Linked DNA regions of Sus scrofa. The protein of the gene in region 4 purifies or fractionates together with the protein of the main gene of each other region. This does not show direct contact. Links are inferred from orthologs where the notes say so. Each region holds a gene or a part of one and is shown on either strand. Other genes may lie near its edges.

Region 1 (4,142 bases), on a different chromosome or scaffold from region 4:
TAACTAAATATTATATAAACACAAATATGAATACAAAAAAGTTCTTACTTTTAAAAACTTAGTTGGTTGGAAAGACCCAATAAAGGTGAGTTGGCTAAACAGTAATAGCAATACATAACAATAAACAATAAAAGCAGCAGCAACTGCTGCTGGATTTGGTCTAAGCAAAACAACCATTAAAAAAATAACAGGTAGGGCGTTCCTGCTGTGGCACAGTAGGTTAATGATCAGGCTTGTCTCTGTGGAGGTGCTGATTTGATCCCTGGGCCAGCATGGTGGGTTAAGGATCTGGCGTTGGATCTGGTTCGGGTTCAGTTCCTGGCCTGGGAACTTCCATACACCAAAGGTGCAGCTGAAAAAGAAAAGAAAAAAGGAAGACAACCACAAAAACACCAGGTTGGGGGAATGACATACAGGAAAAAGGCCCAGGATTCTACAATCAATTTATATACTGTTAAAGATGAAAAATAGTCAACAACACAAATGTTTAGAAACAAACAGAATGGTATGTTTTAAAAGTGGGCAAATTTTTGGAAAGCGCATTTTCAAACCCAAGGAGAAAAAAATTTCAACTGCAGTTTTATTCCTCTACAAATTGATCTTTTTAAAAACGCAGTTATCTTAGAAACGACGGAACATAATCTGAAAGTGCACTTACGAGCCTGTGGATTCTGAAAAGCCACAGCTTTATCAATCCTTAGCTGAGACTGCAGGGCAGCTACCTCCCAGCGACGAAATTCTGGTGCTGCGGTGACATTGAGCAGGAACTCCATCAGGATCTCACTACAGAAGGCATGAAGATAAGAGTTACCGTCAAAAAATTTAAAACCAGCATCCACTCCTCAGAACTGCAATGCTCTCAATATTCCACTTCAGGCACCTTGTGAATACTAATCCAAAACCAACACAGGAGGCCACAATGCCCCATTAAAAAAAGACTAGAATTGAGCAGCTCGGTATTTCTTTAAAAAAACAAGAAACAAAAAAAACCTACAAGTACTTACATATCATCTCGCAGACATTCCACTGTGTAAGCCATGCTTTCCCTTGTGGAAGTCACACTAAGTCAAAAATAAATCACAGTGAATTACAGATCAATATTAGCTTTCCCTTATAGCTTTGTTAAATCAACCAACTCTTTTGGAAAAAAATTACTGTGAGGTAGAAACAAGTATAAATAATAGTATAACAAAGTATATACACTCAACTAAAATTGTAAAATATTTTTTAAAATCTTCAAAAAGGAAATGGCAGATATTTCAACTTTTAAAAGGAAGGAAATCTTGACAAGTTACACATAGATAAACCTTGAGACCTTTTTGCTAAACGAAATAAAGGAGTCATGAAAGGACAACAAATACTGTATGATTCCACTGATAGGAGGTGCCTAGAGCAGTCAAAATCACAGACACGGAACAGAGTGGTGGCTGCCCGGGGCTGGGGGAAAGAGAGAATGGGGGAGTCAGTGCTACAGTTTCAGCTGGGGAAGATGAAAACATTCTGGAGGGAGTTCCTGTCCTGGTGACTAGTATCTGAGGATGTAGCTTTGATCCCTGGCCTTGCTCAGTGGGTCAGCAATCCGGCATTGCTGTGAGCTGTGGTGTAGGCTGCAGATGCAGCTCGGATTTCCCCCTTGTGGCTGTGGTGTAGGCCGGCAGCTGGAGCTGTGATTTGACCCCTAGCCTGGGGACCTCCCTCTGCCATGGGTGCGGCCCTAAAAGGCAAAAAACAAAAACAACACATTCTGGAGATGGTGGTGGTGATGGTGCTTAATGCCACTTATCGCCATAGGACTATACACCTGAAGGTGGGAAATGACAACACTGGATCCTTACTTTGCTTAGAGAACTCTAGCGTGGTACATTTTTTTTTTTTTTTATATTTTAAAAATTGTGTAGTAGAGAATGGTTGATTTATGATGTTCTGTCAATTTCTGCTGTACAGCACAGTGACCCAGTCATACATATAAGGGGGAGCCGGAGGGAGTGGGATGGATTGGGAGTTTGGGGTTAGTGGATGCAGAGTGGTAAATTTAATGTTATGTGTATTTTACTACAACTTAAAAAAAAAAACTTTAAAGTTGAAGATCTCTTTGCACCCTTCCCAGGCTAACTCTCTCACTTCCTCCCACACTAGAGACAAGTATAATCATAAGCACGACATGTTATTATTTTGTTAAAAACCTTATACCTTTAAAAACTGTGAAGCTTACTTTCCCACAAAACATTTTGTTTTGAAGTCTGCTATGTGGATACAGATCGAGTTCTTCCTTAACTGCTGTGTAGCAGGCCCAGCATGTTACTGTATCACACTCTTTCTCTCTCTCTAAAGACAGGCATTTAAATTGCTTCCAGTCTCGATAACGATAAAGAATTCCTTTGTGCATATGGATGAAAAATTGTTAGCTTGTAAAATATGCTCATTTTCAATATGAACAGATATTACCTGGTTCTTTTCTAAGTAGCTGTATTAATTTATACTTCCACCAGAAGCATAAAATGCTTGTCATCACTGTTGATTACAAGTAAAGATCCTTGCTTCTGGCTTCCTCTTCTGGGAACAGCCTCTCCCTATCCATTTTCTCTTTGGTTGTTTTTTCCTCATTTGTAGTTCATTTTTGCAAATTAATTCTCTCCAGGTTACATATGTTGCAAATATCTACTCCCAGATAACGTAATTTTTACTTTAAGGCCTAAGGATATTTTACATTTTTTGCAGTCAAATTTATCAGTGTTCTCCTTCTTGTGCCTTAAGAAATTGTTAACCACCTCGGTAATAGAAAAGTTCCTTTACAACTGACTACCCTCTGGTGTTTTCACTATTTCTGATTACTCATCGTAACAAACCTTAATTTACCACCAACTGCTTCGATTCCACGGGTTATCTTGAAAGATGAAGCTCCTTTTGTAGTCTTGGAAAAGAAAGAACAATTTTTTTTAGTATTTTTTTAATGCTATGCTTGCCAAACATCACTCTACATCAAAATCTAGTGTTTGTCATTAAATTCAAAAAGAACATTACCTAAATAGGGAATCCTTTCTAGTTTAAGAATAATGAAACAAAGTTCCCCAAAAAGCACAAGTACAGATTTTTATATAAAGTATAGTTAGGTTAAAATTCCATTATCAAATACAAGCTTACTGGATTCATCATTCTATTCTGCAAGAGATCTGCATATGGGAAAGAATAATTTTCTTTCAATTTCTGGCATTTAATAATTCCTTTAAAAATTGATTTCTATTTTCTAGCACTAATATTCAGATGGACACTAATTTAATGCTTCTCTGTGGTAAAAAGTATCCTGTGGTTTTTTGGTACCTGTACTGAGTTGAATAATGTCCCTCCAAAAATCATGTTCATCCAGGACCTGCAAATGCGACCTGTTTTGGAAATAGTCTTTGCAGATGCAAATACTTGAAACAAGGTCATGGACCCTAAATCTAATATGACTGAAAAACTTAAATAAGAAGGATATTTGGACACAGAGGCCATGTGATAAGAGCAGAGATTGGAATGACGCAGGTGCAAGTGAAGGAATGCCAAGGATTGCTGGCAATCACCAGAAGCTAGAAAGAGACAAGGCAAGACTCTTTTTAGAGCTTTTAGAGGGAGCAGAGCTCTACTGACACCCTGCCTGACTCCCAGCGTCCAGACTGTGAGAAGATGAATTCCTTTTGTCTAAGCCACACTGTTTGCAGTAATTCGCTATGGCAGCTCTGGGAAACTAACATAGGGATGTTGCTTTGTTGTTCTTTTCTGTAGAACTAAGATACCACAGATTACTTTCTTTTTTGGGGCAGCACTCGAAGCATGCAGAAGTTCCCGGACCAGGGATCAAACCTGCCCCATAGCAGTGACCCTTAACCTGCTGAGCCACCAGGGAACTCTGTAGATTTCTAAACACACTGCAGTAGTAAAGATGCTTACCAAACTGGATGCAAGACGAAGCAGATGAGAGGTTCCTAAATTGTTGGAGTCCTCATATCTACTGCCTGCTTTAATGAACAAACCAATTCTTGATGCAGGAGCATAGTTTTCGAGAGATGCGATCACCAAACCATTTGGTAATCTGGTAAACTGTATTTAAAGATAAAGTAGGGATGTGATTAATGTCTTTATATTACCAAGGACAGTAAGGCACA
Region 2 (4,142 bases), on a different chromosome or scaffold from region 4:
TTATAAATGCCACTTTCCCAATGACACAATGGGTGAATGTTCTTCTAATCTGCAGTGGCTGACAGAGCACGAAGGACAGGTGGCATCTCAGGCCAAGTTTACCATTCATCTAATTTATGAGCTGGCAGCACAAGGGCCCGTGTATATTCACAACCACCGCACCGTGGCAGTCAGGAAGTGGCTTGATTCTCGATGTCCTCGGAATAATTAATTGCATTAAGTTTACAGATGACGGGCAGAGCAAGAAAAGCCAGATAAACTCTCTTTCCCCTCTTTTTTGAGCAAACAGCACTGACCAGCATCAAGACCCAGGGTCAAAGTCCGAGTCAGAAGCAACCCAGCAGGACTTTGTTGGCCACAGCGCCTCTAGTACTTACTGTTTTCAAAACAATAGGGGGCAAATAAAAAAGGAGGAGGGCTGCTCCAGAAACGCTTGCAAGGTTAATAAGCAACAGCGGGCATGTAATCGTCTGCTGGACTTGTCTGCACCCGTTAGCAGGCAATCTACCTACCCAGCACGCGTTCCCCGAGGCCACCCAGCTCCAGGTAGGCGTTCTGAAAGGCGTCCTTCAGCTCCTCGTCCAGGGGCTGCTCCTTGCCGTGGATGAGGATGGAGCTGCAGCGGTCCAGGATCCTTTCTGGAGCACCTTTCATCACCAGCAGGTGCCGGGGCTCAGCCGTGTTGGGGTTCTTGTGGATGGACAGCTGGGAAGGACAGTGGAGGTGTAAATGCTGGATGGCCGGGCGTGGTGGCCCCAGGAGGCAGCTGCACTCCCTTAACTATTTAGGGCCTGTTTTGAAAAAATACCCAGGATCCCCTCCCCCGATGAAACACGCTTTGAATGCTACGCAGGAACCTCGCACGGTGAGGTGCTCATATATCCCTGACATACGTTCAGATCCAGAATTTTCCAGAAGAAAATTCAGAATGAAGGGATGGCACACACGTGTGCACCTGCGGCCCTACCAAGCCCCCTCCCCCCAACACCATGCTCACTCCGACCCCCACCTGAGAATGCAGAAGGGCCCCGACTACATTTTAAAGGAGGCTTCATTTATCCCACTGATATTCAAACAAACCAGAACGTTCTTTCTACCTGCAGTCAAGGTAAGACATAAAGCTAAAGCATTTCTGAAAAGCGTGCGTAATTCATTTTAAGAAAGCAGTTGCGCGTGTACAATTCCCAAGGGGAAGACGGTTCTCCCAGCTCCATCTTCGGACCTGGTACTTGTTGGTGGAGTTGAAGGGAATCTCGACGATCTTGGTGTATCGCTCCCTCATCTCCTTCACGGACCCGCAGCACAGCTCGATGCACTTTAAGAGCGCGGACTCGGAGGCGTCGCCCGCCACTGCCCGCTGCAAAAGAGACCCTCTGTTAGTCCCCCTGCCAACAGGAAAAAGGAGGGGGAGCTCGGGCGAGGAGGCGCACAGCTGCCGGGAGTGACCGGAAGCATCTCGGCCCTTCGGAAGCAAACTGCAACCTCCTCCTCCTTGCCAGCGGGACTCCCCCCCCGCCCCAACTTGGTGCCTGAAGGTGTCACCTCCCCGTGGGAGAAGGCCAACACCCCTCCCCACCTCCTTCAGTCTCTCGTTTTAAAAAAATTTTATTGAAGTATAGTTGATTTATGCGGTTGTGATAATTTCTGCATCATACGCACATCCATTCTCTTTCAGATTCTTTTGCCATGGAGATTGTCAGAGAACACCTGGTACAGTTCTCTGTGCTATCCAGCAGGTCCTCGTTGGCCAATCCGGCCTCTTTTTTTTTTGTTTTGTTTTGTTTTTTACTTTTCCCAGGCCTGCGGGGAAGTCTCTGAGCCAACACTATTCCCAATCACCTATTTGGGGTTAGGAATCTAAAAGTGGAGAGTGAGTCAATACGGCACGCTTCTTCGCCCTGCAGTTTAAAAGAAGATGCCTTGGGTTCTCAGGACCACAGGCAAACTGTCTGTGTCAAGGGCAAAGCCGAGGACTTGACATTCCCAACATAATTCAATTGTGCAGAATTATCTGGGGCTGAAGGGTGCGGACTGAAAGCTATGATGAGCTCCAATGGTCATGTAATCAGCCTAACGTTTTAGCGAATGCCCCCACTTCAGGTAACACATAGTTCGTGTGATGTACTGTGACACACTTACATGGTGACATAGACTGAAAACATTTCCAGCTATCGCCAACTTATACAGAGAGAAACATTTTTGAACTCTGGCATGCCGGGCCGTACATGTAGATGAGCAAATTAATGCCCACTTACAAATGCAGCAGCCTTGTTTAATAAATGTGGCCAGGTTTGGTGAGAAGCATAAAAGAAGTGGGATCATTTTAGTAAAAGGCCACAGTTATTGAAGCAGAATAGGCCTGCATGGTTTTTTTTTTTTTTTTTAATAATGCCATTAAAATAACATGGACCCAGAGTTCCCTAGTGGACTCAGCATTGTCACTGGCCTGAGAACTTCCATATGCCTTGGGCATGGACAAAGGGAAAAAAAAATATATATATATATATATATATATCCCCCCAAAACTCAAAAAACAAACAAACACCCCATGGCCCCAAGCCCCTGAAATAATTAGAAATATATCACATGCTACCTTTCTGGAGCTTTTTTTTTAATTATTATTTTTTGCTTTTTAAGGCCCACCTGCAGCATATGGAAGTTCCAGGCTAGCGGTCAAATCGGAGCTACAGCTGCTGGCCTACACCACGGTTACAGCCAGGCAGGATCCAAGCTGCATCAGTGACCTACACCACAGCTCATGGAAATGCTGGATCCTTAACCCACTGAGTGGAGGCCAGGGATTGAACCCTCATCCTCATGGATAATAGCTGGCTGGGTTCATTAACTGCTGAGCCATGGACGGAACTCCCTCTGGAGCTTTTAAATGAGGCAAGGTTTGATACTTGTGAGTCTCTGTGCTCATAGGCTAGAAAATTTCCACTTTGAGGTAAGGAAAAACATGAAATGAGCATCTCAAGTTTTATCCCAAGATAAACAATATCCTCCTTAAATCAACGTCAATTCAATGCCAAGAGATCTCCTTTACGGAATCAAGGAACCCCATGTTCAAGCCACCCCAGTTCCACCAGAACTATATTCGCTGACCGCTTGGCTTCTACCCAGAACCACCACAGGGGGCGTTGGTGAGAGTGAGCCCACCCAGAGGGCCCCACACAACTCTTTCTCACCCTCAAGGACCCTGTGCAGCTCGTGACCTTTCTGGGTCTTCGACTTTTACTAAGCAACACAGTAAAATCTCAGTCATTTCAAATTTCATGTGAATTCCATGAGGCTGAGTTTATTTTTGCATCATTAGTAGGCAAGCTAAGAACAAGATAAGAGAAATAGCTGAGCTATTTTAAGAAAATAAATGGCTTACGAGATTTACTGGAATCTACCGTATCCTAATATGCAAATGCGATTATTGAGTCACACAAGCAAGGAGCCCTCACTGTCCACTAGGTTAGGGGATTATCAGATAAATTCAAGAGCAGTCAAACTGGATTTTGGGACTTAGGTTTTTTCCACCAGTAAAGACTGCCTCCCCCCTCCCCCAAACCTCCTCTGGTCATTTTTTTTTTTTTTTTTTTGGTCTTTTTAGGGTTGTACCCCCTGCACATGGAAGTTCCCAGGCTAGGGGTCGAATCAGAGCTGCATCTGCCACCCTACACCACAGCCGCAACAACACCAGATCCGAGCCACGTCTGTGACCTACACCACAGCTCACGGCAACACTGGATCCTTAACCCACTGAGAGAGGCCAGGGATTGAACCTGCGCCCTCATGGACACTAGTCGGATTTGTTACCGCTGAGCTACAATGGAAACTCCTCTGGTCAGTTTTTAACTATATATTCCCCCCTTTATGGACCTATTTGGACCACAGGTACTGTAAATCCTTTGGGATCTACAGGCAACACAACTCATTACACACAGCAAAGCATCCCATGGACTGTTCCAAGTGTCCTATGGTGAAGTTACTTTAAAGCCCCCCAAGGTCATGTGCCACTTAAAACACACACACATATAGGTGGTGGTTCTTGTGTGGCACCTGCATCCCCTAGAGGCAACCTAAGAGAACCCCCGAGCATACCTTCAGGATAGGTAGGTTTTCCTGGTTGGCCTGGAACACTGCCCTGTTAC
Region 3 (2,917 bases), about 59 Mb from region 4:
ACTCATCTTGTACCATAGCCACTCGGTGACTGGCGGGAAGGAGTCCGACTTGCAGGCCAGCACCACGGTCTCCCCCTCGGTAGCGTGCTCTGACTTCTTCACAGCCTTGACATTAGGTGGCCCTGCAGGGAGAGCAGGCAGGAGCCTAACCAGGTGGAGGACAGAGGTGGAAACACCCTGCCCCCATCTGGATTAGGATTTGCGCATGCGTCCCTCCCGCACCCCACCTCCCCTCCAACACTGCCCTGCAGAGCCCAGGGGAGCCCACCCTTCACTTCCAGGTCTGTGCGGCCCGCGTGCTCTGGCAGGAAGATGCAGGAGTACTGGCCTGAGCGGTCGTCTGAGTCCACCCTGTAGCAGACATGGTATGAGAGAAGCAGCCTGTTGAAACCTCCACCGGACAGGCAGCCCCAGAGAACAGGGACCAGGGGTGTGCGGGGCAGCAGGCAGGATCACTCCACATCAGGGAGCCTGGCCCCACCACCCTCCAAGCTCATAGCAGTGTTCTAGGCTTCTGGAGCCACTCCTCGTCCCAAACTGGGTGTCACATTGGTCCCTGGAGTGCCCAGACCCCATCTCACAGGAAGGAGGGATGGGTTTGAGAGGTGATGAAGTCTTGCAGCCAGCTGCCCCTTGCTGGGTCCCAGACCTCAGCCCAAGCCTGTTTCTAATGTGTGCAAAGCCAGGCCACAACTACAACCTCCAGCCTGGCCAAGGCCTGGCGGCCAGGAGAGGTCAGAGCAGGCAGGGCCAGCAGCCCTGACCCCGCCCCATGATCAGGCCCCAGCCCCTTCCCTGCTGGGAGGGCCTCACTCACTCAAACTCTGTCCTCAGGTCAGGCAGCGCATCCTCCTTTAGCACCTTGCCCCCCTTCTCCCAGCGGTGGCCCGCGATCTCAGTGGCGCTGTGATTCAGGGCACAGGTGAGGCGTGTTTTGGAGCCAACATCATCTATCGAGGTCCAGATCCTGCTCCCTGGGCAGCCAAAGATAAGGTGAAAAGGGAAGAACCCAGGCCACTGGCTGCTTGTCCCCATGGCAAACCCGAGTGGTCCCAACCCCGACCGCACAGAGGGAGAAGCCAGGGCTGGTTCACAGAGCTGAGCACTGTGGGGCCCCTGGAAGGACCTCCCCTCGGGGTCAGAGGCAGGATTCTGGGAGGAATGGTCTCAACTGGCTGGGCCTAGGTGTGGGAACAGAAGCAGCGCCCACCCTGGTCTGGGTACAAGGACCAAGACAGTGACTGCAGGGTCCAGCGCCAGCAGACCCCAAATGCCCCTTTGGAAAGTCAGTCTACTGCTGCCCAGGTCACCATCCCCTCTGGGTGGCGTTGCATCTCCCCTCCCCTGATCAAGGCAGGCCGTCTGAGGTGGGTCAGGTGTGCTGTTTCCTCCTGCCTGTGAGGCTGGGGTGACCCCCAGAGCCTTGGAACAGCCGGCAGCCCTTCCACTGGTTTCTAAGCAGGTAAACCACCCCGTCCTCGAAAATGTTTTCTTTAGGAACCAAAACATAGAAAACACTTAGAACTAGACAGTAAGAGACATGGCTATGAGAGCTGAGAGACTGGGCTTGAGCTGGGAGGATTCCTCTGCAGGGAGGGCCCTGGGGCATGAGACCCCAGACCTCCATGTGTTTGGGATCAGGAGAGCAGATCAGAACAAGAACCCTTTTGCCGGGCAGGGCTGCAACCCCCATCAGTGGAGTAGCCACACTACAGCCCTGTCCCAGAGCAGACAACACTGTCCCTGGGGACGGTGGGGACTTTATAAAGGTGGGTCTGAGGCACAGCAGTGTTAGCGCAATTGTTAGCCTACCCAGAAGTGACCCTCTGGAAAGGCCACCCACCCTCACATATCTCAGAGGCATCCCCTGGAGAAGGTCATGGACACAGGACACGGGCTGAGAGCCAGCCCAGGAAGAAGCCTGTGGTGTAAAGTCAGGTGAAAGAGCAGAATACAAGCCTGTACTTGAACAACCCAGCCAAGTAAGAAGGCACTGAGGGGAAAGCAGCTACAGGGACACAGACGACAGGCCGGCAGCCAGGCAGCAGCTCTTAACACCCACTGGGCAAGCCACCCTCCCTAGGTCCTTGCTTCCTCCCTGGGGTTACATGGTGACTTCTGACAGTGTAACTATGCGAGCACAGAAAAAACACACGAAACTGGGTGGAATGATCAGAGGTCGTGACCCCCACTTGGACAGTCACCTTAGCCACCTGGCAGTCAGATCAGCGAACCTCAGTCCCGAGGAAAGATATCCCCACAGCAAGAGAAGAGGGTACCTGGCTGCAGAGGATACCAGGTTCACACTCACACATGAGCAGGGCTGGCCTGGGCTCCCTCCGTCCACAGGGACGCCTTAGCTGCTAGGAAAATGAAAGCCCGGATCCCAAGCCAGACTTTCCCATCAAGCCACTTTCTGGAACGGCTGCAGACAGAGTGCACTGTGTCCTCTTCAGGCATCTGAGATCCGGGCCTGGAGGACATGGGTCCTGCCCAGGCCTGCCTGTTAGGTTCTTGCTGGGCTGACCATGCTCCACTCTGTCCCACTATGGACTGGCCACAGGAGGGCCCTGGCTCCCCAGGTGCATTTCCAGCCTGCGGGACGCTGGCCTCTTGGTGTAGAGGTGGGACCCAAGGCCAGCCCATGGACAGGATGTGTGCATGGCCAGGCCTCAGTGCCCCACCTCTGGCTACCCACTGGGTCTTTCTTTAAGAGAAGACAGGATGTCTCAGAGGCCCAGGTCAGCAGGGACGGAAGCAAAAAACTAGATGGCAGTGCCAGGGGGAGAGCAAGGAGGCCCCTAGCGGTCCACACCTGTAGCTACTTGTGTATACACACATACACACACTCACAGGCACGTGTGCTCAGAGTTCCCAGGCTGTGTGGGTGAGCACAGCTACTGGCCACAAGGTCCTG
Region 4 (4,142 bases):
GACAGCGTCAGTTTGATACCTGCAGGGGGAAGACAGCGGGGACAGAAGAGGAGGAGAGACAGAGTAAAGAAAAGACAAGAAAGGTTAAATGATTATATATGGGAGTTCCCGTCGTGGCGCAGTGGTTAACGAATCCGACTAGGAACCATGAGGGTTCGGGTTCAATGCCTGGCCTTGCTCAGTGGTGTAGGTCGCAGACGTGGCTCGGATCCCACGTTGCTGTGGCTGTGGCTCTGGCGTAGGCTGGTGGCTACAGCTCCGATTAAACCCCTAGCCTGGGAACCTCCATATGCCGCAGGAACGGCCCTAGCAAAGGCAAAAAGACAAAAAAATAAAAAATAAAAACTTGGTGGAAATAACTAATCAAGCATTATGCATACAATAGGAAAAAATAACCAAAAATGTAATGTATGTTAGCCTTGGCCTTTTTTGCTCCTACTTACTACTTCTCCTGGTCTGCAAATGTTTTATTCTCTGCACTTCTTTATAAACATTCAACGACAAAATTTTATATACACTCACAATGCGCTAGACAGTCATTTTATAAGCATTAACATAAAGCAGCAAACCAGCACCCCATTTTTTTAAGGCAAAGAGTTAATTCCACACACCATCAACACATACCTGGCTTTAGGGTCTGAGTGTATCCTAAGCCTATCAGGCTGGAGTTGTTCACTTTAGCCTAGTCAAAGAAAAGACAAGAGAGTGAAAACGTTGAGTACTTCATGTTTCTGTCTCCAAAATGACGAAGAACTTCTAAAGCAAGCAACTCTGGACTCCAGAATCTACTTCCCTTTTTTTCACAACCACTTTGTTTACAGGATTCATTAAATTCAAAATGAAATAATCAAATTCGGGAATTAAGTCTCAGAAGGGTAACTCAAAAAGTCAACACAATTTTCAGTTAAAAGAAGTTATTGGAGTTCCCGTCGTGGCTCAGTGGAAATGAATCTGACTAGCATCCGTGGGGACACAGGTTTGATCCCTGGCCTGGCTCAGTAGGTTAAGGATCCGGCATTACCGTGAGCTGTGGTGTAGGTTGCAGACAGCTCGGATCCTGCATTGCTGTGGCTGTGGTGTAGGCCAGCAGCACAGCTCCAATTCAACCCCTAGCCTGGGAACCTTCATATGCTGAAGCTACAGCCCTGAAAACATCAAAAGAAAAAAAAAAAAAAAAGTTATTTATTTCTGATTCCTTAAAGTATGTATGCCCAACTCCATTTATACTGAGTAGGTCTGTATTTAAGTTATAACAAGTATGGCACCTTCATTGATGACCAGAGAGATAAAAAACCTTTCTTGTATGGAAGATGTCTTCCAGATTCTATTTGTTGGAATAAGGAAAAACAGAGCAAGTATCAGACAGGGTTCTTTGGTTTGTTTGTTTTTTTTGTTTACTTTTGTTTTGTTTTTTGTTTTTTAGGGATGCAGCCGCAGCATATGGTCATTCTTATGGGTCAAATCTTAGCTGCAGCTGTCAGCCTACACTACAGCCACAGAAACATAGGATCCGAGCCACATCTGCAACCTACACCACAGCTCACAGCAATGCCAGATCCTCTACCCACCAAGCATGGCCAGGTGGGGATCGAACCCTCTTCCTCATGGATACTAGCTGGCTTCTTAACCCGCTGAGCCACAACAAGAACTGCCATGAGGCGTTTTTGGGGTTTTTTTTTTTCCTTTCTTTTTAGGGCCACATCCCACGACACATGGAGGTTCCCCAGCTAGGGGTCAAATCAAGAGCTGTAGCTGCTGGCCGACACCACAGCCACAGCCACAGCAACGCGGGATCTGAACCACATCTGCGACCTACACCACAGCTCACGGCAACGCCAGATCCTTCACCCACTGAGCGAGGCCAGGGATCGAACCATGTCCTCCTGATACACCGTGTCACATCTGTTTCTGCTGAGCCATGATGGAGCTCCCATGAAGCATTTTTTAAAACAGCAGAACATTGTTCAAATTTTCTCTTCATGGAAAAGAGAAGCAAACGTCATCCCGACATGAAAATTTAGCAGACAAGCCTCAACCGGCCGTTTATACTGGAACAAAAGCATGACCTTGCCCATCGCTTAAACCTTAGCATTCCGTGACTGCTGATGAACAATTAAGTTCAATAAAGCAGATGAGTCAATACGAATTTTGCCGTCGCTCTTCTGCCTGAGGTGTAGGGAGATCTGGACCCCTTTAAGGAGAAATAAGGAGAGGCCAGGGGCAGAGCAAGCCCAGCGCATGAGAACTCGGAGTCCTGGCGAAAGCTGGGGCTGCCAGGGTGCCCGTGTTCCTGCTCGCGTGCTGTTTTCAGACCCAGCATCTCCCACAGGCGACAACAGGAAGGAAGGCCTCTCGGCAGCCAGTGCCCCATCTCGTGGTCCCTTTTGTCCATGCCACCCAAACAACAAGGCCACTTTTCCTCTGTTTTTACGTACCTAACACAGTTCCTGTTTCAGGAGGCTGAAAATGCGCTGCCTGTAAAGATCACAAGCCGGCCCAGAAACCGGCCTGCAACATGAGATGTCCTCATTCCACCCCAAAAAGGGAGCAGCGGGCAATGCCCTGTGCCAGCAGAGATGAGCTCGACAGGATTTTATGCAAAAACTATGCAGCAACCCAAGGGACCACGAGCAACACTGCTGGGACTGATAAGATGCCAACTGCCCGATGCCGGGGCCTGATTTCTTAACATGCGGTACAGGAGTTGAGTCAGAGAATGAAAACTGAGGGGAAAATGAACACATTTAAAACCTGTGGGTTCAAGGGAACCGCTTTACAGTCTGCAGCATGGACCAGGGACCAGTTAAAAGGAGGCTCTACAACAGGGGGACCTGCGTCCAAAAGATCCCAGCACTTTGCAACGGCCGGCCCTTGGGCAAGTCACTCCCAGCTCTAAGCTTTTGGTTCCTCATTTGCGAAAACATAAATGGAATACTTTAAAAAAAAAAAAAAGCTGGGGAGTTCCCATCGTGGTGCATCGGAAATGAATCGATGAGGAGCCATGAGGTTGTGGGTTTGATCCCTGGCTTTGCTCAGTGGGTTAAGGATCCGGCATTGCCGTGAGCTGTGGTGTAGGTCACAGACGCGGCTTGGATCTGGCATGGCTGTGCTGTGGTATAGGCCGGCTGCTATAGCTCCGATTGGACCCCTAGCCTGGAAAACTCCATATGGCATGGGTGCAGCCCTAAAAAGACGGGGGGTGGGGGGGGGAGAAAAGCACCTATCTCAAACGGGGTGTGTAAGAAATAAACATAGTAATCCATGTACAACGGGCTCCCACAGTTAAGTCCCATCAGTATTATCGTTTTACTGATTGAGACCTCTTTCACAGCGAGAAAATCTCTAGCCAAAGCACGGCACTCCATCAATCCAAAAGGATGCCCACCTAAGCGGCAGGTGGCCTCAGCAATACACGGTTCTGCAGGTACCCACCGAGAAGCAGGCGTCAGGGTCGATCTGGTACTTGGCTGCTATTCCAAAGCGTGTGTTGCTGTTTCCTGCTGTCCAGGCAAGATTAACAGCGGTCTCCAACTTCTTGTTCACCTTCTGATAAATGGAGCCACCAAACTCCGTCCCATCATTTCTGCAAACAAGCACAGCACAAATGCCAAGTCACGTGAGAAGGCGGGCCGGGCTGGGCTGGGTGGAGCTGCCCAGGTTCAACAGAGGACCGGGATGCTGTCAAGGGGCTGAATTGATCACAAAACAGACACCAAATTAGGGACAGGGACGGCACAGACAGCAGGGTCGGGACGCCTCAGAGGAAGGTAAAGGCTATCTCAGCCATTACTGGGAACACCCAGAGGCAGCTCAGTCAACCACTCAGGCTGCATGGAACTTGAAGTCTGCATGGAACTTGAAGTCTGCTTCCAAAATAGTCATTATTTTATTACTATTATTTATTTATTTATTTTAGGGCTGAACCCACGGCATTCAGAAGTTCCCAGGCTAAGGGTCAAATTGGAGTTGTAGCTGCTGGCCTACGCCACAGCCACAGCCATGCAAGATCTCAGCCACACCTGCAACCTACACCACAGCGCACGGCAACGCCAGATCCTGAACCCACAGAGTCGGGCCAGGGATCGAACCTGCATCCTCATGGATACTAGTCGGGTTCGTTACCACTGAGCCACGATGGGAAC

The links.
Region 1: the proteins of VDAC1 (region 4) and cytochrome b-c1 complex subunit 2, mitochondrial fractionate together in Homo sapiens (co-fractionation; 3 studies listed by BioGRID, with this or other methods). This does not show direct contact. The link is inferred for Sus scrofa from reciprocal best matches to the Homo sapiens genes VDAC1 and UQCRC2.
Region 2: the proteins of VDAC1 (region 4) and ATP1A1 fractionate together in Homo sapiens (co-fractionation; 3 studies listed by BioGRID, with this or other methods). This does not show direct contact. The link is inferred for Sus scrofa from reciprocal best matches to the Homo sapiens genes VDAC1 and ATP1A1.
Region 3: the proteins of VDAC1 (region 4) and BSG purify together in Homo sapiens (affinity purification with mass spectrometry; 3 studies listed by BioGRID, with this or other methods). This does not show direct contact. The link is inferred for Sus scrofa from reciprocal best matches to the Homo sapiens genes VDAC1 and BSG.

What each region holds. Positions count from the first base shown.
Region 1 is NC_010445.4:24,221,802-24,225,943, forward strand, and holds part of cytochrome b-c1 complex subunit 2, mitochondrial, read right to left. Parts: intron 4,078-4,142; coding exon 3,928-4,077; intron 2,912-3,927; coding exon 2,847-2,911; intron 1,062-2,846; coding exon 1,005-1,061; intron 784-1,004; coding exon 659-783; intron 1-658. UniProt on the Homo sapiens protein: Component of the ubiquinol-cytochrome c oxidoreductase, a multisubunit transmembrane complex that is part of the mitochondrial electron transport chain which drives oxidative phosphorylation.
Region 2 is NC_010446.5:104,362,487-104,366,628, forward strand, and holds part of ATP1A1 (sodium/potassium-transporting ATPase subunit alpha-1), read right to left. Parts: coding exon 4,093-4,142; intron 1,358-4,092; coding exon 1,223-1,357; intron 706-1,222; coding exon 513-705; intron 1-512. UniProt on the Homo sapiens protein: This is the catalytic component of the active enzyme, which catalyzes the hydrolysis of ATP coupled with the exchange of sodium and potassium ions across the plasma membrane.
Region 3 is NC_010444.4:77,737,530-77,740,446, forward strand, and holds part of BSG (basigin precursor), read right to left. Parts: intron 975-2,917; coding exon 818-974; intron 352-817; coding exon 269-351; intron 123-268; coding exon 1-122.
Region 4 is NC_010444.4:136,303,123-136,307,264, forward strand, and holds part of VDAC1 (voltage-dependent anion-selective channel protein 1), read right to left. Parts: intron 3,584-4,142; coding exon 3,433-3,583; intron 683-3,432; coding exon 625-682; intron 20-624; coding exon 1-19. UniProt on the Homo sapiens protein: Non-selective voltage-gated ion channel that mediates the transport of anions and cations through the mitochondrion outer membrane and plasma membrane.